7 linked regions of the Nothobranchius furzeri genome follow. The main gene of each other region encodes a partner of the protein of the gene in region 3 in a complex. Links are inferred from orthologs where the notes say so. Each region holds a gene or a part of one and is shown on either strand. Other genes may lie near its edges.

Evidence for each region.
Region 1: sf3b1 (region 3) and dek share a complex: the UniProt entries of both Homo sapiens proteins name them as parts of the B-WICH complex. The link is inferred for Nothobranchius furzeri from reciprocal best matches to the Homo sapiens genes SF3B1 and DEK.
Region 2: sf3b1 (region 3) and sf3b2 share a complex: the UniProt entries of both Homo sapiens proteins name them as parts of the SF3B subcomplex of the 17S U2 SnRNP complex. The link is inferred for Nothobranchius furzeri from reciprocal best matches to the Homo sapiens genes SF3B1 and SF3B2.
Region 4: sf3b1 (region 3) and sf3b4 share a complex: the UniProt entries of both Homo sapiens proteins name them as parts of the SF3B subcomplex of the 17S U2 SnRNP complex. The link is inferred for Nothobranchius furzeri from reciprocal best matches to the Homo sapiens genes SF3B1 and SF3B4.
Region 5: the proteins of sf3b1 (region 3) and splicing factor U2AF 65 kDa subunit are in contact, whole or in part, in a crystal structure (PDB 7SN6), measured with the Homo sapiens proteins. The link is inferred for Nothobranchius furzeri from reciprocal best matches to the Homo sapiens genes SF3B1 and U2AF2. Residues at the interface, in NP_036565.2 of Homo sapiens: Ser336, Arg337, Trp338, Asp339, Thr341, Pro342, Ala343, Met346; in NP_009210.1 of Homo sapiens: Met383, Glu388, Glu394, Glu397, Ile398, Asp401, Val402, Glu405, Gln447, Gly448, Leu449, Thr450, Gly451, Arg452, Lys453, Phe454, Ala455, Val459.
Region 6: the proteins of sf3b1 (region 3) and sf3b6 are in contact, whole or in part, in a crystal structure (PDB 2F9J), measured with the Homo sapiens proteins. The link is inferred for Nothobranchius furzeri from reciprocal best matches to the Homo sapiens genes SF3B1 and SF3B6. Residues at the interface, in NP_036565.2 of Homo sapiens: Trp388, Ile392, Arg395, Asn396, Arg397, Pro398, Leu399, Ser400, Asp401, Glu402, Glu403, Leu404, Asp405, Ala406, Met407, Phe408, Pro409, Glu410, Gly411, Tyr412, Lys413, Val414, Leu415; in NP_057131.1 of Homo sapiens: Arg12, Leu13, Pro14, Pro15, Glu16, Val17, Arg19, Ile20, Ala32, Met35, Tyr36, Arg46, Gln47, Ile48, Arg49, Val50, Gly51, Asn52, Thr53, Thr56, Thr59, Ala60, Tyr61, Val63, Glu65, Asp66, Ile67, Phe68, Tyr92, Ala97.
Region 7: sf3b1 (region 3) and sf3a2 share a complex: the UniProt entries of both Homo sapiens proteins name them as parts of the 17S U2 SnRNP complex. The link is inferred for Nothobranchius furzeri from reciprocal best matches to the Homo sapiens genes SF3B1 and SF3A2.

Annotation. Positions count from the first base shown.
Region 1 is NC_091745.1:58,973,620-58,977,584, reverse strand, and holds the start of dek (protein DEK), read left to right. Parts: upstream 1-1,165; 5' UTR 1,166-1,277; intron 1,278-1,419; exon of another isoform or gene 1,420-1,533; intron 1,534-1,588; exon of another isoform or gene 1,589-1,710; intron 1,711-2,439; 5' UTR 2,440-2,476; coding exon 2,477-2,600; intron 2,601-2,717; coding exon 2,718-2,816; intron 2,817-2,886; coding exon 2,887-2,996; intron 2,997-3,289; coding exon 3,290-3,384; intron 3,385-3,851; coding exon 3,852-3,965. UniProt on the Homo sapiens protein: Involved in chromatin organization.
Region 2 is NC_091742.1:75,387,253-75,390,752, reverse strand, and holds part of sf3b2 (splicing factor 3B subunit 2), read left to right. Parts: intron 1-117; coding exon 118-209; intron 210-302; coding exon 303-524; intron 525-604; coding exon 605-730; intron 731-805; coding exon 806-886; intron 887-959; coding exon 960-1,187; intron 1,188-1,257; coding exon 1,258-1,407; intron 1,408-1,473; coding exon 1,474-1,563; intron 1,564-1,714; coding exon 1,715-1,822; intron 1,823-1,909; coding exon 1,910-2,017; intron 2,018-2,436; coding exon 2,437-2,579; intron 2,580-2,734; coding exon 2,735-2,836; intron 2,837-3,500. UniProt on the Homo sapiens protein: Component of the 17S U2 SnRNP complex of the spliceosome, a large ribonucleoprotein complex that removes introns from transcribed pre-mRNAs.
Region 3 is NC_091754.1:36,044,038-36,048,335, forward strand, and holds the start of sf3b1 (splicing factor 3B subunit 1), read right to left. Parts: upstream 2,801-4,298; 5' UTR 2,585-2,800; coding exon 2,557-2,584; intron 1,627-2,556; coding exon 1,454-1,626; intron 1,314-1,453; coding exon 1,212-1,313; intron 1,104-1,211; coding exon 989-1,103; intron 1-988. UniProt on the Homo sapiens protein: Component of the 17S U2 SnRNP complex of the spliceosome, a large ribonucleoprotein complex that removes introns from transcribed pre-mRNAs.
Region 4 is NC_091759.1:1,629,860-1,634,122, reverse strand, and holds sf3b4 (splicing factor 3B subunit 4), read right to left. Parts: upstream 2,801-4,263; 5' UTR 2,566-2,800; coding exon 2,532-2,565; intron 2,096-2,531; coding exon 1,967-2,095; intron 1,882-1,966; coding exon 1,339-1,881; intron 1,245-1,338; coding exon 1,074-1,244; intron 849-1,073; coding exon 702-848; intron 607-701; coding exon 458-606; 3' UTR 279-457; downstream 1-278. UniProt on the Homo sapiens protein: Component of the 17S U2 SnRNP complex of the spliceosome, a large ribonucleoprotein complex that removes introns from transcribed pre-mRNAs.
Region 5 is NC_091745.1:76,211,802-76,215,042, forward strand, and holds the end of splicing factor U2AF 65 kDa subunit, read left to right. Parts: intron 1-260; coding exon 261-364; intron 365-490; coding exon 491-642; intron 643-749; coding exon 750-866; intron 867-1,171; coding exon 1,172-1,328; intron 1,329-1,441; coding exon 1,442-1,521; intron 1,522-1,683; coding exon 1,684-1,806; intron 1,807-1,882; coding exon 1,883-1,969; intron 1,970-2,222; coding exon 2,223-2,471; intron 2,472-2,556; coding exon 2,557-2,691; 3' UTR 2,692-2,741; downstream 2,742-3,241. UniProt on the Homo sapiens protein: Plays a role in pre-mRNA splicing and 3'-end processing. By recruiting PRPF19 and the PRP19C/Prp19 complex/NTC/Nineteen complex to the RNA polymerase II C-terminal domain (CTD), and thereby pre-mRNA, may couple transcription to splicing.
Region 6 is NC_091742.1:17,814,881-17,819,046, forward strand, and holds the start of sf3b6 (splicing factor 3B subunit 6), read right to left. Parts: upstream 2,801-4,166; 5' UTR 2,682-2,800; coding exon 2,652-2,681; intron 2,194-2,651; coding exon 2,075-2,193; intron 1-2,074.
Region 7 is NC_091751.1:56,891,767-56,895,850, reverse strand, and holds sf3a2 (splicing factor 3A subunit 2), read right to left. Parts: upstream 2,801-4,084; 5' UTR 2,712-2,800; intron 1,973-2,711; 5' UTR 1,950-1,972; coding exon 1,752-1,949; intron 1,658-1,751; coding exon 1,611-1,657; intron 1,490-1,610; coding exon 1,380-1,489; intron 1,291-1,379; coding exon 1,241-1,290; intron 930-1,240; coding exon 789-929; intron 712-788; coding exon 643-711; intron 565-642; coding exon 313-564; 3' UTR 86-312; downstream 1-85. UniProt on the Homo sapiens protein: Component of the 17S U2 SnRNP complex of the spliceosome, a large ribonucleoprotein complex that removes introns from transcribed pre-mRNAs.

The sequences.
Region 1 (3,965 bases), on a different chromosome or scaffold from region 3:
ATTTTCTGGGATAGTTTTCACTCGTGGTTAACGCATAATAATTTCATTATACGCTCCTTATCTTCGACAGGCGGATTGGTTCGGCATCTGCAGTGATGCGGACGCTGAGCCGATCTGTCGTGGGGAAGAGGGAGCTGAGCCAGAAAGCCAGGCTCTCGATTTACCGGTCGATCTACGTCCCAATCCTCACCTATGGTCATGAGCTTTGGGTAATGACCGAAAGAACGAGATCGCGGATACAAGCGGCCGAAATGAGTTTCCTCCGTAGGGTGGCCGGGCTCAGCCTTAGAGATAGGGTGAGGAGCTCGGACATTCGGGAGGGACTCGGAGTAGAACCGCTGCTCCTCCGGATCGAAAGGAGCCAGTTGAGGTGGTTTGGGCATCTGGTCAGGATGCCTCCTGGACGCCTCCCCGGGGAGGTGTTTCGGGCATGTCCTGCCGGCAGAAGGCCCCCGGGTCGACCCAGGACACGTTGGAGAGGTTACATCTCCAATCTGGTCCGGGAACGCCTTGGGGTCCTGCCGGAGGAGCTGGTGGACAAGGCCGGGGAGAGGACGGCCTGGAGCTCCCTAATTGGGATGCTGCCCCCGCGACCCGGACCCGGATAAGCGGAGGAAGACGACGACGGCTCCTTATCTTTTTCTGACATCAAGTATGTTATTAGTTTGGAAAATAAAATGCAGCAATTCACTGTCAATAATTTGATTATTTTCGCCAAATTCTTTATACACAAATGTAAATTTGGCAATATCAAACCGATCTTTATTGTTTTTTTGAAAGAACTTGCATCCTTCATGGATTCTCTTAAATTATGTAGTTCCAAGAAAGCCATTTGGCTCTATAACAATTTGGTGAATGTTTCCTTTACCCCTAATAATGTTGTTTGATGTAATATATGTATATATTTATTTGGTTATGACTTCTGCAGGTTGATATTGAGCTAGGTTAATATTATTGTTTCTGTTTGTACACCTGCTTTTTTTTGTCATGCTCAGAATTCATCTGTAAATATTGATTCTTATGTAAGCCTGTAAGCTTCATTGGTTAAATAAAACTTGTTAAAAAAAAAAAAACAAAGAGCTCCATTGTGGGGGCTTGGTTTTAGCATAAAGCGATTCCAGTAACGGTAGGGGCCGGTAGTGAGACAACAACGTGACGTCTGCAGCACTCATCCAATCAGCACCGTGGGCGCCGTTGTAGTCCCAGCCCACATAGCATATCGCTCTCATGAGTGACAGGCGGGTTGCGGTTCTGTTTGCTCGGTTCTTCGGGAACAGGTAAAGTTATTGCGTTTTCTTCCCGCCGTAGACGGCTTGCTTGGGGGCATGAAAGCGGAACTTGCTGTGCCTCATCGTGTCGCTGTTTGGTCTGTTGAATCTTGTCGGAGCTAGCTGTGGTGTTAGCTGCAGCGGCTAACCCCGCGCATATTTTCCGCTGCTTAAACTTAACGTTTACATTGCCCGGTAAACCGATGGCTTGACTGAATGACTTCCGCTAACTAACCAATTGGCGCAGCCTTGACGCGGAAGTGAGGTAGTATTTTGAGTTTATTGGTCAGTTTTTCGGCGCGGCTAACTAATCGGCTAAGTTGTTTGAAAGCTATAGTTTCCGCGCGCTTGTCCGCGTGCACATGAAATAAATAAAAAAGATTAAAGTAGTCAGCTGCATGTTACCGTTTCCGCTAATATCAACATCAACTCATGAGGTTAAGTAAGTGTGTGTGTGCGCGCGCGTGTGTATAAGAGGCACCGGACTCCATCCGTCCTTCTTGTTTTTAGAATACAAAGCGTGGTTTTGGTGATCCATTGGTTAACTGTGATCCGTTATCAGACTAGTGACTTATCAGAAGCTTGAACACACTTCGGCACCGGAGCTACCGGACAGAACACTCACTCTGGATCCACAGACCGGATCATGTCTTCATGACTGTTTGTAATCAAATTCATGCTCCTGGGCAACATGAGCTGAAACCTTTACTGAATTAAACCAATTACCATACCAAATTTATTTATAAAAGCACAATAAACAGCGTGAGAGCTGACCACAGCGATGTACACCACAAAACCACACAAAGACCAATAAAACTAAATTAAACAAATACATGTAAAACACATGAACTACACACCACAAAAGTTTGACTTCAGTCTGCTAGTGAAGTAAAGGTCTGACTGCATGTGGTCTAAAGAACAGGAGAAGCTTTTCATGTTGTCTTTTCTTAGTGGGGCGGGCAGGTTTAGTTTATGTGGTGACGTATTTGGGCTCAGACCTTTACTAAAACCAGGGTTTCTTAGACTTTTAACTCAGCTTTGTGGAACAGACCTGTGGATGCGACAGGTGTGTCAGAGTAACTCTGCAAGTGGAGGAGCAGTTGAAAGCTGAGCTTTGCTCTTATTTAGTTAGCTGTAAGCATAGCATCATAAACCTGGTGTGTTCTTTCAGGATCAATTAAACGGGGACTCAAAGCAGCTGTGCAGACATGAGCGACGCGGCGGAGGAAGCGATGGACAGCTCCGTGGGATCTGAGGAGGACGTTGAGGATCAGCAGGAGACAGTGCTGGAGGATGAGACGAGTCCAAACAAAAATAGCTCCAAGAAGTCTGGTGAGGAGAGTTGTCTGATTGCACTGTCACTCGTGTTGGGTTGTTCCTTTCTGGGTTCTGTAAAGGTTTATTTGTCTGGAACAGCTTCAGCATGCTGACATGTTCTTTCCGTTACAGCTGTGGGTGAAATCATCGAAGGGAAGCGAGTGAAGAAGACTGTGGAGAGACTGGATCTCCAGGCGCCAAAAACCAAAGAGAAGTTGAAGATCGGAGATGGTGTGCAACAAAAGAGGTTTAGATGTGTATGAATACAAACCAACAGCTGGTTAACATCTGGTGTTTGCAGGCAGTGGAGATAAACTAGGAGACATCCCTCGAACCAATCATCAGATCACCAGGATGAAGCTGGTGGATCTGAAACAGCTGCACATGCTCCTGTTTGACAGACCGGGAAAGGTACAAACAGCTGAACCGAACCCAGAAAACTGACCTGAGCACAGCTCCAAAATCACCTGTTCATCTCCAACCAGAAAAGTCCCCATTCTGATTGATCAAGTACCCAATGACCACTTTTCAGTAGTTATTTACAGGCAGGTGTCAGCTGCAGGTGGGAGTTATTCATGTGTTCATGTTCAGTAATCCCACAGAAAAATATGTGAAGTAACAAAGGGGAAAAGCACCAGCTTCAGTCTTGAGTTCTTCATAGAAACACCCCAGAGTCAAACGTGAAACTGCTTTTTGTCTCTCAGATGGCCACACTCAAGAAGAACCTGCGGCTGTTCAACGGCTTCCCTTTTGACGTCGACAGCGAGCAATACAACAAGAAACGAGAAAAGCTTCTCAAGTAAGTTCCTGTTAGCTGCCTGACCCGACTGAAGGATAGGACCTACTGGTGATGGCCAGGTGAAGCTGCATGAAGCTTCCATCCCAGTGGTCCAGAAAGAGGCTGGAGATCACGCGTGTGTTTGGTGTGAAGCTGAGCAGATACATGAATGTTTGTAAAGCCAGATGTTTGTTTGGAGTTTTAATTATAAAAAAAGAGCAAGCAGTCTGGCACACACACACACACACACACACACGGAATAAGCAGCACTTTGCTGCTCTTTTTACATTCAGTCTCGCTCAGACCGATGATGCGGGTCCTGGGTTGGGACCATGGCCTGGCCTGCGAGGCTTTAGACACCACCACACATCAGCACAGGCCTGGACACAGGACTCGTCCCTAGCTCCCAGATGTGCAGATATAATTTATGGTTTGTGTTTGAGGGTTCAGTCAAGATCCTTCCATAAACATCCCGCGTATCGTTTCAGAAACTCCAGCTTCACCAACACCAAGCTGAAGGTTGTCTGCACTGTTCTGGATCTGGAAAAGAAAGGAACCCACTCTGATCTGATTGACCGGATTCTGACCTTCCTCATTTCCCC
Region 2 (3,500 bases), on a different chromosome or scaffold from region 3:
CAGGTCATCATCAGTTTGTGATTTTGTAGCCTCCTTTAGCTCCCTCAGACGAGCGTCGGCCACACCGATGTTTACTCTGTTTCTAGCTCTTTGCTTCACTGACTCTCCCCTCTACAGACGACGACGATGATGGGAGGGACATGGATGCCACCAATTCCTCAGCGCTGATGTCTGAGAACGACGAAGATGGTCTGATGTCTAAAAAAGATGTAAGTCCCATCTGCACAAAGCTCAGGAGCACCTAGTAGTGACCAAGTTTGATCCCGTTTTGAGTTGAACAAGCAATTTTTTTTCTCTCTCAGAAAAACCGCAAGAGGAGGAACCGCAAAAAGAAGAGCAAGAAGAAGCGAGCTCAGGAGAAGAAGGAACAAGCTGAGCAGCAGCAGAAGAAGGGAGGTGGTGAGAAGGAGAAGGAGAAAGAGAAAGGGAAGGAGCCAGAGGTGGAGATCGAGTACGTCACAGATGAGCCGGAGATCTACGACCCGAACTTTATCTTCTTCAAGAGGATTTTTGAGGCTTTTAAGGTGATTTTAATCAGCAGCACAGGTTCAGGTGTGTCTCTGTGTTGTTGTGATAACACTTTCCTGTCCTTCCTCGTTCCTAGCTGACTGATGATGTGAAAAAAGAGAAGGAGAAGGAGCCGGAGAAGGCGGAAAAGCAGGAAGTTTTAGGCGTTCTGCGAAAGAAAGGATTTGAGTTGGAGAGGAGAGACAGTGATGACAGCGATGAGGTACGAACTCGGTCATTTGAGCTTTCTGGTGGGTAAAAACATGTTGTGCCCCTTTAACGTCCAAAAACCTCACAGGAAGTCAAACAGGATGTTCCTAAACTGTCCAAGAAGAAGCTGAGGAGGATGAACAGGCTGACAGTGGCTGAGCTCAAACAGGTAGAGCAGCTTCCTTCTAGTTGATGTTGTAGTTGGTATCAGAGTCTTTAGTCACAAATGTTCCTACGTCCAGCTGGTGGCCCGACCCGATGTGGTGGAGATGCACGACGTGACGGCTCAGGAGCCCAAGCTGCTGGTGCACCTGAAGGCCACCAGGAACACGGTCCCTGTGCCGCGCCACTGGTGCTTCAAACGCAAGTACCTGCAGGGCAAGCGAGGCATAGAGAAGCCCCCGTTCCAGCTGCCGGAGTTCATCAGGAGGACGGGGATCCAGGAGATGAGGGAGGCTCTGCAGGAGAAGGTGGGTGTCAGCGGGACCTCTGCCTCCCTCGCCCTCTAGTGGTCACTGATGGGAGCTGTTCTGCTTGCAGGAGGACGCCAAAACCATGAAAACCAAAATGAGAGAGAAGGTTCGTCCCAAGATGGGAAAGATCGACATCGACTACCAGAAGCTCCACGACGCGTTCTTCAAGTGGCAGATCAAGCCCAAGCTCACCATCCATGGAGACCTCTACTACGAGGTATGGGACCACTCCTCTGGCTGCTCCTCACTTAAAAATCATCTCATGGCGTGTTTTTGTTTTTAGGGTAAAGAGTTTGAAACGCGTCTGAAAGAGAAGAAACCAGGAGATCTCTCTGATGAGCTGCGGATCGCTCTGGGGATGCCCGTGGGACCGGTAAGCTGTCCTCTTCTGTTAACATGTGTGATGCTTCTGTTTGCATCACCATGGTAACATGGATAGTAGCACGCTCAGTGGAGGCTACTCGTAACGAGGTGTTAAAATGGTTTCATGACTCAGCATTTTTGTGTTGTTTCTTGTCCATCAGAACGCCCACAAGGTGCCCCCCCCCTGGCTGATAGCCATGCAGAGGTACGGCCCCCCTCCCTCCTACCCCAACCTCAAGATCCCTGGACTCAACTCGCCCATCCCAGATGTAAGAGTTCATCGTGGTCTCCTCTGGTTGTGTTTGTGTCATGCTTCCTACTAACTTCCTGCTTCCGGGTGTGTTCCTGATCACCAGAACTGTACGTTTGGTTATCACGCCGGAGGCTGGGGCAAGCCGCCGGTGGACGAGATGGGCAAACCGCTTTACGGCGACGTGTTTGGGACCAACTCCGCTGACTTCCAGGTCAGAAATAAAACAGCTTTACACACAAAATATAAAAAAAGGTGCTAAATGAAAACCAGGGCCTGCTGACATCATCAGACTTTATTGATTCCTTCAAACTCTGATGCTATCACAGCCTGGCGGAGTCTAGCTGGTGGTCATTTTTATTACGTTTTTGTTGACAGATTAGGAATAGAGTTCATGTTTTAGAGTTTAATATAAAAATCAAGCTGGAACAGTGAGATCAAAGCCAGTCTGGTTGATGTGATGCTCTCTAAAGCACTTTGTTTATTATTTTCAGCTTTTAGAGCCCAAATTTACAAGAAAGAAAATCATGTTTATCATTGATTCTGTTATTTTATTTCATTTTTTTTTTCTAGCTGTGTAAAAGTGTGTTTTTGTTTGCGCGCGTGTGTGTGCGTATGTGTGTGTGTCCCCAGGCTAAAGCAGAGGAGGAGGAGGTGGACCGCACGCCGTGGGGAGAGCTGGAGCCTTCAGATGAGGAGTCATCAGAGGAGGAAGAGGAGGAGGAGAGCGATGAAGAGAAGCCAGATGAAACTGGATTCTTCACACCAGCTGACAGGTCTGAATGCTGTTAAAGAACACAGTTGTGTGACTGGTTAGACTGGGTTAGATTTACCTGATCTCTTGTGTGGGTGTAGTGGGTCTGTGTCCTGTCAGCATCACCCTCTCCCAGACGGGTAGGAGATGAAACAAATCTTTCCTTTTGTTCCTCAGTGGGCTGATCACACCTGGAGGCTTCTCGTCGGTGCCCATCGGCACGGAGACGCCTGAGCTGATTGAGCTGAGGAAGAAGAAGATCGAGGAGGCCATGGACGGGTGAGTGTAGCAGCTTTTCTGCTGCCTCCATCCCCTTTAGTTCATCGTTTTTACTGGTCGATGCATCAGGGTTCTCAGCAGGGAGACAAAGGATGTGTCCATATTCAGGGACAGCGTCCTCGTTAGGACCTGCCCACACGGGTCAGGTCGTTCCTCATCCACTGAGACTAGAAGAGAACGGCTGTTGATGTAAACCTTCTGATCCTGTCGCCTAGCAACTTCCACGGTGCCAAACAGAAGCTAAATCTAAACTTCTGAACACATAAAGAAATACGCGGCCTCACCATATCGGCTCTTTCACGAGGGGTTTTCTCATCGTTTTTGATGAAAATATATTTGAAAATCAGACATTCAAACAAACAAATCCTGACAAGACCACTGAAGTTTTTAGTTTTTGTACCACAAGAGGTTAAAATGCTTCCATCCTCTCCTGCTTCGCCCGCCATCGTCGCAAGGACCAGAATCTCCCGTGCATGAACTCTGGGATGGGATGGGCCGGTAACGATGCGTCCGAATGAGGGTGATGGGGAAGGTGCGCTGGCCTATTCTCCTCCGTCGTTGTCTTCTTACTTCTTAAATCAACCTTTTCGGGACTTTGCTAAGACGTCAGGACCATTTTGGCAGTGAGTGATGTCACTGATCAGTGCATGCTGCCAGTAAAATG
Region 3 (4,298 bases):
AGAGAAATTAAGGACAGTTAGTATGGGCCTGTGGTATTTTGGCACACAACTTTTCTTTGATAACATATTTCTATTTTACAGAGAGAGCTGTAAAATAAAAATATATTTACACAACAACTATGTACAAAGAGCTCTCTCTACATGCAGGTTTCAGATAAACCCTGGAGCTGTCAGCCTATCTCAGCTGTTATCATCAAGGGAAGTAAAGAGGCAAGTACCACTAAAGCATACGCCTTCTGGGCATTGCCACTGGTGGGTTACTTCCAGCAGCAGAAAATTACAACAAGCTACAGATGTTTAAATGTTGTTTAAAGTAAAAATTATTCAGCTAGCCTACTCAGCCCGGAGGCTGCAGATTATTTCAAATCTAACGAGCTAGCAGGTGACAAACGCAGCGCCAGACACTAAAGTGTGATCATTTACAACAGGGTTCCTGAGGGCTTTTATGAAGCCCAAATCCACCAAGTTTCTGTGACTCTAAAATGCTGATCACATCTTCATGCCTCTGATTATTTATCCTTCTCAGTCTGCCTGAGGATCTACAGCTGCTGTGCCTAGTATGAAAAAGCACAGTGCATCAGCAGGCCAGTTGAACCATAACTAAGTCATATTTTTATGTTTGCCGTCAAGGATCTGCCAACCCTTCGACCTACACACAACCCATCTGCAACCCACGCATGTTAGGACACACCCAACAACCTCTCCCACTCAACAGGATGGTTAACCCTACAATGGTTTTCAGCACAAATCCAGACTTCCCAATGAGCCCACACTGACGTTTGTAGAAAAATTGTAAAACAATGAGGAAAAATGTTTTTTTTGGCCACAGAGGATTTACCACAGGGAAGGTATCAAGTCTGGGAGGCAATCTATTGCACTGTGGTCGAAGGGTTCAAAAATAAAGCTAGAAACACTCATGGGGTGGCATCTTAACAACAGTAACAATGGGGGAAAGTGGAACTAGGACAAAAAATAAGACAATTTTTACCATCTGCAAAAGGGTCAAGACGCTCAGGTGAGATGATCCTCTGTCTGCGTCGGCCTTTGTAATCATCCTCCCGCTCTGCAATCTTCTGTGGACGATGCTCAGCAAACGGGTCGTACTATAAATCCAAAAACCAAGCAGATTTTAGGTTAATGTCTGTATGTAAAAACATTTTCTAGACAATGTTAAAAAGTTTATATCTGTGACAATTTAAATGAACACATACTTGCTCATCTGACTGAGGAATGGCGTTGAGTATCGCTACTGGAGCGTGGTAACCTTGTTTCTTTTGTCCCAACAAGCTTGTTGATGTATCCTCATCATCGTCCTGTGGAAGAAAGGAGAAACACGAGTCTAGTCAAGTCCTGCTAATCCAGCAAGACTCTCCTAGCTCATACACAAAACACAAACACATAGGAGTACTCAAACTCCACAAAAAAGCTTGACTCAAGTCTAATAAAAACTTACATCCTCTTGCTCATTGGCGGCGATAGAGGTGACATAACCAGCAAAACGGCTGTCACTGCCTCCGTAGATCTCCTGGTCATAAAAGCCAGTGGAGTCCAATCCCACCCCCTGATCTCCATTGTCCACCAGGGAGGCCTTCATCCCCTGGATCTCGAGGATCTGGGCCTCGATATCTGAAACGAACAAGAACAAACAGGATAAGATACATTCCTCCCAGGAATTCTAATGAACCTAAATCTGGGCAGGCACATCAGGCATCAAACAGGAGATAATGAATGGTAGAATAATTGGCTAATCTCTATCCGCCCCATGCTAAACTTTTCTCAGTTTAGAAAAAGTTTAGAAAGGTGATATCTACGCATGCGTCATCTGATACGCTTGTACCAATGTTCAGTAAAACGTTTTGATTCTTGATATTGTTGGAAGGCGGCATTCTTGATAACGAAACATTAACATGGTCATAATAAAGGCCAAACAAAATACATTTAAAAAATGGCCTAAAGGTTCCAGATGGGATTCGAATAAATAACGTAGCACTTTTCGTAACGTTAATTTAAAGTTACAACCCCCGATAGTACACTTATCTCAGAAGCAGCTTTTAACCTCATCTGCAAACAGGTTTTTCTTTATTACAGCCGCGATGTTTACCCACACAATCTACGCGATTCCTTACCGGTGGTTGGGCTTTGTAGCATGGGGATGGTGTTAAAAGTGCTAGTTGCGTCATACGACGGCCAAAATCACGTATTATTATCCGAACAAAAACACATGATTAAGACAATAGAGCACAGTACAACACTTAATTGCGATTAACTAAAACTCATTAGTACGTCTAATATCATTTGCTGAAGTGTATACATCGTCAAAAGGAAGACAGTCTAAGCTAACAAGCTAGCAGCAGCGCTAGCAGCAGCGCCATTATGTAAACGGCCCGCGTTGTGTCGCCGCAGCAGGCCTGCTACTTCTCCCCTTTAAAACCATACATTCATACAGGAATACGCGCTGTCCACATTATAGTTACATAGTAAAAACATGTCTCGACACAACAACACAAACAAAACAATAAAATATAGAACTGATATGAGATTTCTCCAATAATCTACCTTCGTGGGTTTTGGCGATCTTCGCCATTTTGATGGTGGTTGTTGAAGACTAACACCGGAAGTGTGTTTATTCACTGTTCTTCTTCTTCCTCTTCTTCTTCTGAGTTTTACGGTGGTTGGTAAGCAACTTTAAGGTGCATTACCGACACTTACTGGGCCTGGACCGGGAAACTAACCACCAACAAATCCCAAAAGAATCCCCCTTACCAACAGCTACAAAAAACCCGAAACAATAATAATAATAAAATAGAACAATAGAATAGAACAGAATAAAATAGAACATTCTAGAATAGAAAAGAATAGAATAGACGTTAAGAAAGCAAGAAAGCAGGAAAGCAAGAAAGAAAGAAAGAAAGCAGGAAAGCAAGAAAGAAAGAAAGAAAGAAAGAAAGAAAGAAAGAAAGAAAGAAAGAAAAAGAAAGAAAGAAAGTTATCTTTTGTATAGAGCCTCTCAAGATAAACATTATGAGGCACTTCAAAAGAACAAAACATTCAAAATACAAAAAATCTTCAAAAAGTCATTAAAAATATGATGAAAATTAGAAAAAATAAATTACATTCCGATCACGATGGGGAACTCATGTCACTTCCTGGGCACCACCATCACCCAAGACCTCAAGTGGGAGCCCACCATCACCTCTATCATAAAAAGGCCCAGCAGGATGAACTTACCGAGGCAGCCGAACAAATTCAACCTGCCAGCACAGTTGATGAGGCAGTTCCACACCGTAGTCATTGAGTCCATCCTCACTTCAATCACTGTGTGGTACACTGGAGCTACCATCAGGAACAAGAAGAAGCTGCAGCATGTTGTGTGATCTGCTGAGAAGGTGTTCCTGAAGTGCCGGGTGATTACAACGCCAAGCTTCACAAAACCCAAAATCCTTTATACATTATCAGCTGACTGACAAATATGAAAGTTTGAGCATCTGTTAGATTTGTCTAAGTCAGGATTAGGGACCTGGTTGAAATCCCCTCCTACCATGTGTGAGAGTGAGCTGAAAGTGTTGTAAAAACCTGTCCTCAGTGTTTGGACCAAACATTAGCAATACTTAATTTTATATTTCTTAATGTAATTGTAAATCTTCCATCTGGATCTGAAACAGTTTCCTTACGTGTAAAATGTAACGTCTATAAAATAATTTCAGCAGGGATGAGTAATAAGTGGAGGGTTGCAAAGAGAAAACAGAATGCAGCATAAAAGGAATGAAAATCCTGATACTTCTAAATCTGTTGTTATGAACGTAATTTGGTCTATCAAAGTTGGAAAACTATTCTCTCAAATGTTTAATATTTATTAGTTTATGTGTGTTAAGTGTAATGTGGTAAGGACAAAGGACTAGCAAACATCCAACCATTCTCTTCCGCTTATCTAGAGTCGAGTCGCGGGGGCAACAACCTAAGACGAGAAGCCCAGACTTCCCTCTTCCCACCCACTTGGACCAGCTCTTCCGGGGGAATCCCAAGGCATTCCCTGGCCAGGTGAGACATAGTCCCTCCAGCGTGTCCTGGGTCTTCCTTTAAGTCTCCTCCTGGTTGGACGTGCCCAGAAAACCTCACCAGGGAGGCGTCCAGGAGGCATCCTAACCAGATGCCCGAGCCACCTCAACTGGCTCCTCTCAACGTGGAGGAGCAGCGGGTCTACTCTGAGCCCCTCCCGGATGACCAAGCTTTTCACCCTATCTCTAAGAGAGAGCCCAGAAACTCTTTCGGTCACTACCCAAAGCTTGTGACCATAGGTG
Region 4 (4,263 bases), on a different chromosome or scaffold from region 3:
TAAATGTCCAAAGAAAACATTTTAAAAAAATTCTTTTAAAAATATTTTTGGATTTTAATCCCAACAGTAGGGAATATCACTTTACTTTTTAAATAAAACCATAATACCTGAGAGTATATGACCTACTGGGGCCCCTGCCTCAAGTTATAAATACCTTTTGGACATAAATTAGAACATATTACTCTCTCACCTGCTTATTATGCAGCTTTTACTCATAAACTAATTTCTGGTACATTACAAGTTTATTAGTAATAATTAAACGCAAAAATATCCAAAAGTTGTACTAAAATGTTTATTTGCCAATTTTCTGTTTATCTGTACAATGAGCATAAATCAAAAACAGTTGGTTAAATTACTTCCAAGATAACAAAATCCAGTAGATCGAAACATGTATTTAAAAAAACAACAAGCTGAATGTTCCTGTGGTCTGACGTGGATCACGGAGCTCTTGGTGCTCTCAAGGGACCCGAGGAGGGGCACCGGGAGGTCTTGGTGGCATTGGAGGTGCTCTCTGGAAACCAAAAGGAGGTGGACGAGGAGGAACGGCACCATAGCCGGGAGGAGGCATGGGGGGAGGTCCTCTCATACCTGGAGGCACAGGGTGGGCTTGGGAAAAAAAAAAAAAAAAAAAGAAATAACAGGTTAAAAACAACTTTCATTTAAAAAAAATTGTATTTTTGAGAAAATGCCACAGTGCTCACCCATGGGGGGTCCATACGGTGCTCTGGGAGGCATGCCCATAGGAGGTGGGGGCATGCTGGGGGGCGGTGGAGCTCGAGCCGATCCTGGTGGAGCAGGTGGAGGCACCATGCCAGGAGGAGCAGGCGGCATGGGCATCTGAGGCATACCTGTGGGCCCGGATCAAACAAATAAAAATAACTCATTCAGGGCTAACAGCTGCATTTTAATAACCTGACATTTAAATTGAAACATTATTGTTTTTATTTCTTCACATTTGAAGGAGATGACTGAGGTTGATCCTGCACAATTTTATTAATCGTTATTGGACTTCTTAAAGCTAAAATGGGGAGCAGAGACTTAAATTTTCAGGCTTTTCTGCAACCGAGTTATACCTGGAGGCATGCTGGCCGGTGCGAAAGGTGGAGGAACAGCTGGAGGTCCACCAAGAGAAGATGGAGGACCTGGTGTCCCTGCTGATGGAGGCATGCCCATAGAAGGGGGCATCGTTGGAGGCATTGATCCAGGGGGAGGAACGTGAGGAAAGGCACCAGGAGGCGGCAAACCTGCGCAAAAAAAAAAACAAAACTATTATATAATTAACCCAATAAATGTAGAAAGGTACTTCTTTATCGGCAGTTAAGATTAGAGCAGTCATACCATGAAGAGGAATCCCGGGGCCCATTGCGGTTAGGAGTGGCGTCTGTGCAGATGGTGGGGGCGGAGCATCTGCAAACAGCTGATGTGGCCTGTCTGCCTGCGAGAGAGGGTTTTGTGCAGCTAGCAGTCGCTCTGCCGCTGAGCCATGGCGTTCTCCTTTAGAATCTTTCTTGAACGCGTACGACACAGTGATGGGCCGGTTGCACAGGTACTGGCCATTCATGGCCTCGATGGCGGCGTCGGACGCATCAAAGCTGGCAAAGTTGATGAAGGCGTAACCCTTGGAGTTGCCGGTGTCTGGGTCTCGCATGATCTTTGGAGTTTGTAGAATAACGCCAAAAGCACTGAACGTGTCGTAGAGCAGTTTTTCATCGATCTCCGGGTCCAAGTTCCCGATGAAGATATTAGCGCCAACATCCAGGTTTTTGTTGTGGGCGGAGGCCTTATTCACGCGAATCGGTTTGCCGTAGAGCTTAATCATGTTCATGATTTTAATGGCATAGTCAGCATCTTCCTCACTGAGGAACTCCACAAATCCATAACCTGAGTGGAACAGTTTCATTTGTTATGTACATTGTTACAGTGAATTTTAGGACTTTCATCCCATCTTGAATAGCCTGATTCTCACCTTGATGTTGACCTGTGACCCGATCTTTGGGCATGTGTGTGTTGACAACAGGGCCAGCCTGCAGAAAAAGCTCCCATAGCAACGGCTCTGACACCTTCTCATCCAAACCACCGACATACACGGTGGCATCTGGAAACACAAGAAAATACCTATTAAGGAAAACGGTGTTTACATTGATAGGTGAGCATTGCTACATGCTAATGTCGCGAGTTTTTAAGGCTAACTTTAGTTGTTTAGTGGTTCTAGTCCTGACTTGGAATAATCTCTGCATTTCAAATAAACAACATAAAACTCCCGTATGCTATCGTGAAGTCAAGCATTAAGTAATACAAGCATTAAGTAATACAATTAAAATAAACAAAAAACGGCTAACTTAGCTAGAAGCTAGGCTAACGAGACCGGAGACTTCCATGTGTTTGAGTACGCATTTACCCCCAAAACACGGGCTAATTAGACAGCTAACATTGGTGGGAAAGAGCGGATAAGAATTTCAATTGTTATAAATCAAGAGATATCGCTAAATAATGAAGGTGTAAGCGTTAAACCATTTAAACAATGAAATTACCTTGGTTTCTTTCTGAAATTGGTCCCGCTGCCATGTTGAATGACCAACGCTGGGAGAGCGTTGTGAAGGGAAGGCCCGCCTCTTCCGGTAAAACCCAACAAAATAAAATAAGATCAAATAAATTAAAGTAAAAATAAACTAATTCTTCTGTTTTTGTAGTTACATAAAAAATTGTTATACTCTGATTACACTAAAGACCCAGACATTCCTAAACAAAAAAAGACAGCAAATAAATGAATGTTAATTAAAAACTTGAAAGGCAATCAAAATCACTAAGTTTCATTTGAATTGATTTGATAGTTTTTTCTGGGATATTTTTAGTTGTATGGCACTTAACCATTAACAACAAATTCAAAACAAAGCCACAATTATTTTTATTATTTGATTTATTTCATATACATATAAATATACTAAAGGTATAAACATGGAATACAAAGTGTTCATAGAAAATACACACATTTAGGGTCTCAAAAATTTTAGAAAGTAACTATTTTTTATATATATATATATATATATATATAAAACACACATTAAAAATAGAAACTAACATCATGCACCAAAGACAAAAAATAAAACTGTTGCCAAAGCTGTTTATAAAATGAATTTAAAATAAGCATCAGTAAGGGAGCCTTCATAGATAATAGTCATTAAAATAACTGAAAGAGCTGAGAATAATTAATGGCTTGTGAAGAAAAATACATCTACTGAACTTTATTTTAAAAAGTAAACCTTAAAAATAAACAAAATTAAAGACCTCCAGGCTCACTCATTAAACCTGCTCAAATACACTTATTACATTTTCTTTTTTTGGCCCCTAAAACGAGAACAGAATTTCACAACACAAACCAAATAATGCAACACATATTTCACAAGCTGATTCACTAAAACCCGGTGTTCATAAACACAATCGCCTTCTTTTAACCTTCATAATATTTGTCACATAATAAAGAAATAATTTGACATTATGGCATAAATATGAGAAAGTATAGCACTGTCATGATACTTAGAGATAGTTTGGCTAGCAGGGAGCGAACCAAGTTGCTTCCTGGTTAGGAAGTGTTGCTTGGCAATCACCAAAGACCACAGAAAGAGAAAGGTTTAGACTAATTAAAAAAAACAAGTTATAGGCTGTTTTGCAATATGAGTACTTGTTTAAACGTGTGTACTATATTAATTGTGAAATGTCATTGGCGTTAGCCCGTGTACTGTTCCAATACCAAGTACGCATCATGGCAAGTACGCTCAAAGTTCCTGGATGTGTTCGTCCTTCACCCATTACAATAAAGTATCCATCTTTGGACTTGGACCAGAAAAGTATCCCATAATGCATTTAGTCACAAACCGTTATACCACAAATAGATAGTAAAGCTCATAAAAATAAAAATAATTACGTCTTCAAAGGGCCGCTCAAAAGACTGGCTCTTTTGAACGAAGCAAAGAAGTCTCAGTGAGAGTGGAAGGAGGGGGGCTGTTCATGATGGACGAAACCATAATGCATATTATTGAGCCTTTTATATACTTCAGCCTGATAATTTTGTTGTTTTATTTCATATTTTTTAGCAGTAAACCAGTTTTTTTTCGCTTGAAACGTTGTCGGATGGAATAGTCAATTAATCAACAGAAGCTTAGAATAGAACACTTAACAAAAAAATATTTAGCCTTTAAAAAAGAGAGGCAGTTGAATGCACAGAGTATGCATGTGCCGGCGCATGGTCAGGATGGTACCACCTTT
Region 5 (3,241 bases), on a different chromosome or scaffold from region 3:
AATATCAGGAACTAAGAGTCCAAATCCTCCGTCTGAAACTCAACTCTGCTCTGGCTCACTTTGAGTTTCTGAAACTGGAGCTTCAGAGCTTTTTTCCTCAGAGATTAACTCGTTTATACCAGAGACAACAGCAAATGTGTTGCTTAAATGAGTGAATTTGGTCTTAAAATCATTATTTCTTAATATATTTCAGCAAATCACCCTGTATTTAATCAAAACGTGAGTTAAATTTATTTCACTTTTTTCTTTTTGTCAAACAGCCGTTCTCCTCAGCGTGAGAAGAAGAAGAAGATAAAGAAGTACTGGGATGTCCCTCCGCCTGGATTTGAACACATCACTCCCATGCAGTACAAAGCCATGCAGGGTAACAAGTTTGATACATTTATAGTTGGGATGTTATCCATCGCGGTACTGAAACCTCTATGTGATGTAGATATGATGGTAGTGTGGTAAAATGGAAGATTATAACTTTGTGTTTCGTGTTTTTCAGCGGCAGGACAAATTCCAGCCACCGCCCTCCTGCCGACCATGACCCCAGACGGCCTGGCTGTAACCCCCACCCCCGTACCTGTGGTGGGCAGCCAGATGACCCGGCAGGCCCGCCGTCTTTATGTTGGCAACATCCCCTTTGGTATCACAGAGGTGAGAAACAGAAAAGCATATTTCGGTTTGGATAATATCGTTTTAATGACCTTTACTCTTTGTGTGTGTGTGTGCGTGTGCGTGTGTGTGTGTGCGTGTGTGTGTAGGAGTCCATGATGGACTTCTTTAACGCTCAGATGCGTTTAGGTGGTCTTACTCAGGCCCCTGGAAATCCTGTCCTCGCTGTACAGATCAACCAGGACAAGAACTTTGCCTTCCTTGAGGTGAGAAACATCCCGTGATGGTCATTAATGATCCTCAGGAGCAGGGTTAGGGAACCCTGGTCCCGATCCAACACGTTTTAGAGGTTTCCCTGCTTCAACACATCTGATTTTAAACAGCAGGCTATTAACAGGCTTCTGTAGAGGCTGATGAGCTGCTAAACTGGTGAATCCTCTGTGTCGGAGCAGGGAAACCTAAAACGTGTTGGCTGGCGGCTCTCCAGGACCAGGGTTCCCTACTCCTGCTCTGAAGTATTCCTGAACTCTCGTTGGATCTTGTTTGTGTGTTTTTAAATGTTTCTGTTCAGTTTCGTTCAGTGGATGAAACGACACAGGCAATGGCCTTTGATGGCATCATCTTTCAAGGCCAAAGCCTTAAAATCCGTCGTCCGCACGACTACCAGCCACTGCCCGGCATGAGCGAGAACCCCAGTGTCTATGTGCCTGGTACACAGACAATTAATGGTTTTTATCCTTACATTTTGCTACAAGTATACATAAACATTTGATCACTCAATATCCACGTGAGCCTCTTCTCGGGTTCCTCAGACTCGTTCTTGTCCTTGCACATTTTGCAGGAGTGGTGTCCACAGTGGTCCCAGACTCGGCTCACAAGCTCTTTATTGGTGGATTGCCCAATTATCTGAACGATGACCAGGTCGGTGTTGCAGTCTAAGTGCCATCCTGGTGCTTAGCATTCATGTGTGTTTTCTTATTGGTGACATTTTGGTGTTGAAATGAACCGAATGAAATAAAAAGTTGACATTAATCTTGTTTGCTTTAGTTTCCATCTAAACTCGCGTGAACTCTCGTGTTTCAGGTGAAGGAGTTGTTGACGTCGTTTGGCCCTCTGAAGGCCTTTAACCTGGTAAAAGACAGTGCCACAGGCCTATCTAAAGGATATGCCTTCTGTGAATATGTTGATGTCAACCTGAACGATCAGGTAACGGGTCCCAGCAGGTACGTCTGTGGTGGAACCTTTCTGGAAACGGGTCACTGAGCTTTGGCTGTCTGCACAGGCTATCGCTGGACTGAACGGCATGCAGCTCGGAGACAAGAAGCTCCTGGTGCAGAGGGCTAGCGTGGGATCCAAGAACGCCACTCTGGTGAGGCTCCAGCTGCTGGGTGAATGACAGCAGAACGGTGGGAGGCTGGATGTCGGTTCTAAAACGGACCGAGACAGATTGCTGAATAGATCTGCTGCAGCTCCTCGTCTGTTCAGTTCTAACCAGGACAAATATACGTCTTTTCAGCCAAGTCGTGTACTGAATATGAAGCTGTGCGCTTGTGTTTAGGGTGGATCTATGGCGGTATGCAGAAGCCTGAACGTGAAAGTCTTTGTTGTTGTTTTTTCTCCAGACAACTATAAACCAGACCCCGGTGACGCTGCAGGTGCCGGGTTTGAACAGCTCCGTCACTCAGATGGGTGGCCTGCCCACTGAGGTGCTGTGCCTGATGAACATGGTGGCCCCCGAGGAGCTCCTGGACGATGAAGAATATGAGGAGATTGTGGAAGACGTCAGGGAGGAGTGCAGCAAGTACGGCCAAGTGAAAAGCATCGAGATCCCTCGTCCGGTGGACGGCCTGGACATACCTGGGACGGGCAAGGTAGGCAACCTTCAGATTCTGATGTAAAGCGCTTTGATGGATCAGCAAATCATAACCGTGCCTCTTGTTTTCCCTCGCTTCACAGATTTTTGTGGAGTTCACTTCAGTTTTTGATGCCCAGAAGGCCATGCAGGGGCTGACTGGAAGGAAGTTTGCCAACAGGGTGGTGGTAACGAAATACTGCGATCCAGATGCTTATCACCGCCGGGACTTCTGGTAGAGGGGGGACGATGAGAGGGAAAGGGGAGGGAGGGGGGAGGGAGGGAGTGTAGCATGTACTGCCTGTTTCCAAATAGCCCTCGGAGTGATTTTGGCTGAGCAGCATTTCAGGTAGATCTCGGACTGTTAATCGTTTGGCGAACGGCTTTGGTGATGTCCGGTTAATTAAAGGAGATCTACGTGACGTGTTGAGCATTTAGCACCAGTGTGGCAGGGAGGAGGAGAGGAATGGCGTGTGTTTATTTTAAATGTAACACCGGGCTCGGTTTGGGGCGGTAGTCGTGTAGCTGGGTGGGTTGGGATGTGTATGAAATTTGAGAAATGTGTGTAATAACGGGGCCGGGGTGGGTCGAGAATTTTTTTTTTATACTTTGTGAGACATGGATGTTGTTTTTTTGGGTGGGAACAGGGAGCCACGCTTCAAAGGTTTGTATTTAAATGGAGTCGACCTGTTTTAAGTACATTTAGAGAGGATCTGCAGCACGGAGCTACTGGAAAATTCTGATTGAGAAGAGTTGGAAACTAAAAGGAGATGGTGTGATGGGCGTTGT
Region 6 (4,166 bases), on a different chromosome or scaffold from region 3:
CTTTCTAAACTATTTGAATAATAAGGAATGAGACTATTACTAAACATATTTGTAGTAATAACATGTTTCTGATCAATATTCTTCCTGAATGGTTTCAGCAGCTCAACTGAGGAAATGACATGGAAACAGGAAGTTGTGTCTTTTTAAAAGACGAGTTTCTCTAGCCGTTTAGACAGATAACGTTTCTATTCCGTTCCAACTTACAAATAAATAATAAAAATACCTAAAATGGAAAACTTGGATGTTTTCTACTTTTTCCTTAATTTAATGGATTGCTGAAATATTGGATTGGGACTCTGTATCTAAATCACATGACACGGATTGAGGGAAAAAGATCATTTTTGACTTTTTTTTTTTTTTGGTACCACCTCACAGAATAACAGAAGGACGTGCTGGGTCCCAGACCCAAAGCAGGGCTCTCACACACGCGACTAGCATAAAAGTTTCAAAGTTAAAGTAGGTCTACTCCACACCGAAGCCAGAGGACACCGCCTGGATATTAGGAGGAGTCTGCTGCTCACACACCGGTGTTACAGAAAGGAGCCGACCCTCTTGAAGCAGCAGCAGCCATGTTTATTAAAGGTGAACTGATCGCTCTCTAGTTTTTGTTGTTAACAAAAATAACAAATTTTGTTTTTCCATCAAACTATCTTAGCTGATCCATCCATCCATTTCTGGCCGCTTATCCAGGGTCGGGTCACGGGGCAGCAGCCTAAGCAGGGAGGCACAGACTTCCCTCCACAGCTCCTGCAGGGGAATCCCAAGGTGTTCCCTGGTCAGCTGAGAGACGTAGTCCCTCCAGCGCATCCTGGGTCTTCCTTTAGGTTAGAGATGGGCGATATGGCTCAAAATCAATATCACGATATATTGAGGATTTCACCTCGATAACGATAAATGGACGATAACTACAGGTATGCGCAGTAGAGCTGTAGCGATGCATCGATGACGTCGACGGCTCGATTCTAAAAATTCGTCGACGTCAGATCCGGTGGTCGACGCACCACGCCCACTTGTTGCATCCCCAGGAGTTTGTAAATAGAGGTGGAACCTGCCTGTTTTTCCTCTAGTCCACCCTCTTCTCCGCCTTCACTAACATCTCCACCAAATACCGAAGACCCAGAACAATGTCCGTCCGCTACTAGATTCCTTTCCTGTTTTGCCCGCCTTCGTCTCCTGGCAACGGGCAACAACTTCCGGGGTCAGATGCGCAGCTCCGTCTCTACTGTGTAAAAAACTTCTAAACCGAGTTTCTGTTATGCTTCTCTAAACATTGGTTCATGGGAGTCTCTAACCTGCAATTTGCTCTTTAAGGGATTTGTCATGTAATTTGTGTCAACAAACCAATCAACTCCAGGCAGAAACAACGTCCATGAAGGTGGCTCCTTTTCTGTGTTCATCTCTTTTCAGGCTAAAGACCAAAGGTGACAGATCATCTGCTGCTGTGGCCCCTAGACTCTGGAGCTCTCTCCCTCTGAGCCTGAGATCAGTGGACTCGGTGGTCTCCTATGAAAAGCAGCTAAAAACTCACCAGTTCAAGCTGGCTTTGGTGTGACCTTCGTCACCACCCTCTCCCTATTCGGCTCTTTCTACGTATTCCGCCTTTCCCAGCAATCCACTCATTTCCCTCTTTCCTATTCATTTTCTCTCTCCCATTCCTTACATTATTATTTTTAATCACAATTTACTTATCTTCATTTTAAACATATTTTTAATCGTTTTTTGACATCTTTCTAGTTGTTTTGTTTGTGAAGCGCCTTGTGATTTTTATTTTGAGAGGCGCTACGTAAAAGATCGTTTTCTTTCTGTCTTTGCTGCTTTCTCTACGACTCTTAACTGTTACTTCAACGTGAGCTCTCTAAATACACTTAAACCTGTTTTACTTACATTTGTTTTATTTATGTTTACCGTGAAGCGATGTGTGGCTTTTATCCTGTGAAGGCTGCTTTAAATGCAGAGTTGGCTTTGTTACATAAAATTTTCTTTTACTCTGAAAATGACTTCATAATAACACACACACACACACACACACACACACACACACACACACACACACACACACTTTTTGAAAACTTACGTTCGGATCTGTCGTATTGGTCCGTATTTTCCAAAGATATCGTACATCTCCTCAGCTGTGATCTTATAGGGGAGATTCCTTATATACAGGATTCTGTTCACCTCAGGAGGTAATCGGATCTACAACACCATTAAAACACATCATTAAACTATTCAGAGGGAACAAAACTAACCTGGGTAAAAACTCAAATACCTGATACATAAGTACACACGATTACTAGCTGAGGCCTTTTAAGACTACGTAAGTCACTTAACAATAGACATGGCTACTTTTAATCATTACATGCATTAGCTTATCCTTGTTTCCGTACCGGAAGGAACAAATATTCTTAGCCTGACGATATCCCAACGAGGATTATGTCTTCACAAAACAAAAGATGAAAAAACACATGACCTCAAATGGTAAGTATAACTAAAGTGAATATAAAGCTTGAAGATTTCAGGTTTTGAGGACTGTTTTCAATTTGCTAACCTGCTAGTAGTGCGCTAATTCTTTGAGACGCTTCCTCAGAGCTAAACCTAGCTTACATTTCACATTAGCCTTTCCTTTGTCCCCTTATATGCTCCATTACACTTACATTAGCACGTTTTGCTGCTTGCATAGCCATCGTAACGATTTAATTCGTGTAAATAACGCAGATAAACAACAAACACGCTGTTTTCACTTCAAAATGGAGGCTACGGTAAAAATATATCGAACTTCCGGTTTGGAATTAGGCTACAGATACATCCTTATAACGGTGCTGCCCTCTAGCGGCGGACAAGAACCTCAACCAGCCTGGAACAATTATCCTAACTATAGAAAAATGACATTCTTACAGAAATGCTATTTGAATACTGGCTGCTGAGGCTGATAACTGAAGATGCATAAGAACTGAACAGAACCTATACTTAAGCTCAACTCAGTAAAAAAATCCCAGAGTTTCTTTCAATATAATGAATACGAATAAAATAACATTTAAAACTGTATAGCAAACAAGTGTTAGTGCACTTTTTTTAAAACATGAAAAAATATTTAGGCTAAAATGTTCTTCTCGCTCTTCATACCAGTTGGTTCCAGAATTGAAGGGAGCACTATTTCCATTCCATTTTATTTTTAAAGCACATTTTTACAGGGCCGAGGCCAACCAAAGTGCTGCACAGTAAATGAGCATAAAAATCAACACACTGGAAGAAGTAATAAAAGTAGTACAGTAACTACTATAAAATCAATAAAGACAAAACAAAAACATCGTAAAATGCTAGCTAGGCTGAAGTAAAAGCTAAGGAATAAAAATGAGCCGTCACTGCTAGAGACGAGGCGCACAGACTGAGAAGGCTCGTTCTCCTTGCGTCCTCACCCGAACTCTTGGGACCTGTAACAGGTCTGCTGACCAAAGAATTCGACCAGGTACGTAGGGCTGAACCAGCTGAGTCAAGTAGAGAGGAGCATAAAGATAGAGTTACTTAAAAACAAGAAGTAAAAATTTAAATTGGATGCGGTAGCACACCTGGAGACTATTCCCTATTCGAGTAATTTGAGCATCAATCAGGTTTTTTCAGCACCTTTAATTTTAATATTTATAAAAAACAAAACACTGATACTGCAACTAATTTTCCTCTGAAACCTCAGCAGACTTTTTAAAAGCCTTTTTTATGCACAAACGAAACAACTGAATTAGAAAAAGGGAAAAGAAAAAGGTTATTGCCATGGTAACGGATGTTGCAGCACTGGCTTATGCTGGGCTTCACTCAAACAGGCACTAAGGTGAAGCTTGGGAGATGAACATCACATCTGGTCTTCACCGAGGCCGTGACCAGGTGTAAATCACATGAACAATGCATCTTTAACACTGCTCTGACTCAACTCTGTCCCCTAAAGACTCTAACCCCCCCAGCAAGACCACGTGAAACACCTAAAAAAGGACACCTTGGTAAATGTGCACACTACATTCAGTAGGAAAACAGTCCTTTCTACCATCAGAAACCGCCTGCATAGCAGCAACATCAGGACCAAGTCCTTTCTAATGTCACGTTTTGAGGATGTTTAGGACACAAATATGCAGAAACCCAGGATGACACGAGGCTGGAGATGATGTAAAGTAAATATGCTT
Region 7 (4,084 bases), on a different chromosome or scaffold from region 3:
ATTTTGTTGATTTGTTTTATTTTAACCTGATCAGAGTAAACTTCAGATAATTCTCTGTATTTTTTGTAGAACAAACACTCAGGTATTTTCAGTATTTGTGTATTTTAATTAAAAAATGGACATAAGAAATAAAAATGTGTCCAGATATTAGTTTACAAGAGGACGATAATGTTTCCATAACATTTAGCTTTAGAATTTTATTTTTAGGCAAACAAAGTTATGAAAATCTACTGAAGATATCCAACATCCTAAAAATACAAAACAGGCAGAGCAGAACAACTGACCACCAATGCAATTTCTAACAGCAAATTATCACTGCATAAGGCCCTCTGGGGGAGGTGGCCTCATTGGCATGGGGGGCATGGGCATTTGTGGGGGCATTTGGGGGGGACCTGGTGCCCCGGGTGGCAGAGGAGGAACAGACATCCCTCCTGGTGGTGGAGGTGGAAGACCGTCGTTTGATGGGTGGCCACTCATAAGTGAAGCGGGGTGCTTTAAGTTGCCAGGAGGAGCTGGACCACCAGAAATGGCTTTCTCCATTTTAAAGTGGAACTGCAGGAAAAACTGAACGAAAACAAAACATTCATACATTAGAAAATTTTTTAAATTAGTTTTTTAGTAAAAACAAAGCAGAGTCAGTACCTGTTTAGTTTCCCTGTTCCAGTGAGTCCAGAAGCGGTTTTCTGCTTTATCAATTTCCCTGCTGGGGACCTTAAAGGAGCAAACATTTTAATGTTACGGAAATGTGACACATGAGCACAATGACAAAAATTACAGTTTTCATCCACCTTAAAGGAAATAGTTTCATATGGTTCAGCAGCAAACAGCAGGTACTGCCAGCGACGGTCAGGAGGCTCGATACGCTGCTCATAAGCAGACATGAAACGGTGCCTGGGTCCAATTCCTTCAGCAACCTCTGGATAGTCGATCTGATTAATATGGGAAATAAAAACAACTTGTCAGATGTTGTAACATCTGGTTATTATTGCCCTGATAGGAACTATAGGAGTTTGTTTTGTATCTGCAACGCATCTTCAAGTGGTGTCCACAATGGGGTCATACAATGGGAGCAAAACTGTTATATTGGGCTGGAAAATAATTAAAGTGGAGCTAAACATATGATGGCATTTAACTTTGGTTTCACACGAACAATAAAGCATAAAGCCTATTATCAAGTGTCTCAGATTCCCAGAAACACAGCAGGATTTTTCCAGAATTAAAATATATTTTTTATTTTCACCTGAAAAAGTAAAGACTGCTGACCAGTCTCTGGGTCCCTCTGTTTTGTCACTGTGAAAAAAAGAGAAAGACGAGGATCAAAAGTTGTTACAAAAAGCCAAATAATGTTGATCTAATATAGAACCATGCAGCCAGTGTACCTTTGTATCCTGGTCGACCGATTTTGACAAACTTCTTGACCTCAACTTTAACCTTTGCTGGAGCTGGTTGAGCCGGCGCTTCTTTTGCCTCTTTGGCTGCTCTTCGTGCTCTAAAACACCAAATAGAAAAGATTTAACTCAGAAAGAAAAAATTATACAGGAAAATGTTTACTGACAAATATTGAACTAGTAGCAATTAATTGTGTTAGAGAATGTTTTAGGTTGACTTACAAATTGGTCTGATGCTTCTTTCCCTGTGTGTGAGCCAAGTAGCTGCCCTAAAATCAAGTAGAGGGTTTTCTTTAGAAACACAATTCCCAAATATCAAAAATTCTAACATAGCCCAATCCAATCCGTTAAGTGCCTCCTCACCTCATTGTTGTGAAGTGTCAAACAAAGTTTGCATTCATAAGAACCTAAATGATTCTTCATAAAATAGGGGTCCTTGTTGATGTCGATGGTCTCTAGAGCCAGCTGACGTAACCGTTCACGCCTGTCCCGGTTACTCTCAGAGGCAGACGCCACCCCTCCACTTCCAGTCTTCCCTCCAGCTCGATGCTGGAAATCCATTTTTTTGAAGTGATGAACTCAGTCTAAAGACAACATAAACATATAGCATCAAAGGGACAGACCAAACATAATGTATCGTGTATTTCTTCAAATAAACACAAAACAAAAAACAGAAAAAGCCAGTTCAGTTAAAACTGAACCCCTGGTGTTTTATTTTTACCATCCCTATAAAACTGAGAAACATATGCTATTTCAAATGTAGAAAACATTCACAACTATAAGTACTGTACAAAGCAGTATGCACGTAGTAACACTATCATAAATATAAATTCAACAACTTTCATATAATTGCTGATAAAATGGTAACGCTATGTGTTACAGCAGCCAGAATGAATATCTGAGCGGCACAGTTCCTTAAATGTAGTATTAATAGTGAACATTAGTCAGGACTGTATATGTATGTATGCGTGTATGTGTTAAATCTATAACTCAAATCATAAAGACTTTCTTCCCGACACCCCTTTCATCAATTTATCAATTTGTCATGATTCTAGGTTGAAACGTCTTAATTTTTAATAACATAACTAGAAAATCCCTATATTGAACTATCCTTTCGCGCACATTTTACTGTTAGCATTTAGCATCGATGGACGTCGTTCTGACAATGCTAACAGTGCTACCATATATGCAAGGATAGTTTTAAACCTACCAAAATGAACAAACTATCAGAATGAAATTAAATATAGCCTAATCAATGTTTTAGCGTTACTGCTCAGCGAACTGCACAACAAAATACTAGCTAAATATTATAAATAAACTTACGTTCTCCCAAACAAATCTAACGACAAACTGTGATGGACAGAATTGTTTTGCGCATGCGTGTTGGTTCTCAGCTTAAGCAGTTCATAAATAGTTTCAAACATTCATTGCCATCTAGTGGTCAGGAGTAAAACTGACCGACGAACAAACGTTTGCGGATAAAAGCATATAATAAAGACCTAAGAGATTAGTTTATTTAGGAGTAAAGGGCTACATTTAAAATGTGAAAAATAAATTAAAAAAACGATATGAAACATTTGCATTTTTGTTTATTTATTTAATATGTTCTCTTTAATTTTGGATCAATTGTTTGTATTATTTCTTTTGCTATGGTTTTGTTTCCCAACTTTTATTGATTTTGTTGCTTTCACTTTTAGGGTCTGGATTTAAACTAATTGTAGATTTAGACAAGGTGTTGGACCGCATCTCTCGGGGGACCCTGTGGGGGTACTTTGGGAGTATGGGGTACCAGGCCCTCTGATAGGGGCTGTAAGGTCCCTATATGACTGGTGTCAGTGCTTGGTCCGCATTGCCAGCAGTAGGCCGGGTTCGTTTCCGGTGAGAGGTTGACTCTGCCAAGGCTGCCCTTTGTCACCAATTCTATTCATAACTTTTATGGAGAATTTCGAGGCACAGCCAAAGTGTTGAAGGCATTCATTTTGGTGGCCTAAGGATGGGGTCTCTGCTTTTTGCAGATGACATGGTCCTGATGGCTTCATCAGAACGTGATCTCCGTCTCTCACTGGAGCAGTTCACAAACGAATGTGAAGCAGCTGGGATGAGCATCAGCTCCTCTAAATCCGAGACTATGGTCCTGAGTCAGAAAAGGGTAGAATGCCTTCTCTGGGTCCAGGGATGAGATCCTGCCCCAAGTGGAGGAGTTTATACATCTCAGGGTCTTGTTCACGAGTGAGGGAAAGATGGCGAGTGAGATTTACAGGTGGGATGAGATCGTGTCTGCAGTAATGCGGACGTTGTACCGATCTGTCGTAGTGAAGAGAGAGCTGAGCCAGAAGGCGAAGCTCTCGATTTACCGGCCGATCTATGTTCCTACCCTCACCTTTAGTCATGAGCTTTGGGTAGTGACCAAAAGAACGAGATTGCAGATACAAGAAGCCAAAATTAGTTTTCTCTGCAGGGTTTCTGGGCTCTCACTTAGAGATAGGGTGAGAAGTTCAGTCATCCGGAGGGGCTCGGTGTAGAGGAGCCAGTTGAGGTGGCTCAGGCATCTGATTAGGATGCCTCCTAGATGCCTCCATGGTGAGGTTTTCTGAGCATGTCCAACCTGGAGGAGACCTAAAGAAGACCCAGGACATGTTGGAGGGACTATGTCACACGAATGGCAAGGGAACGCCTTGGGATTCCCCTGGAGGAGC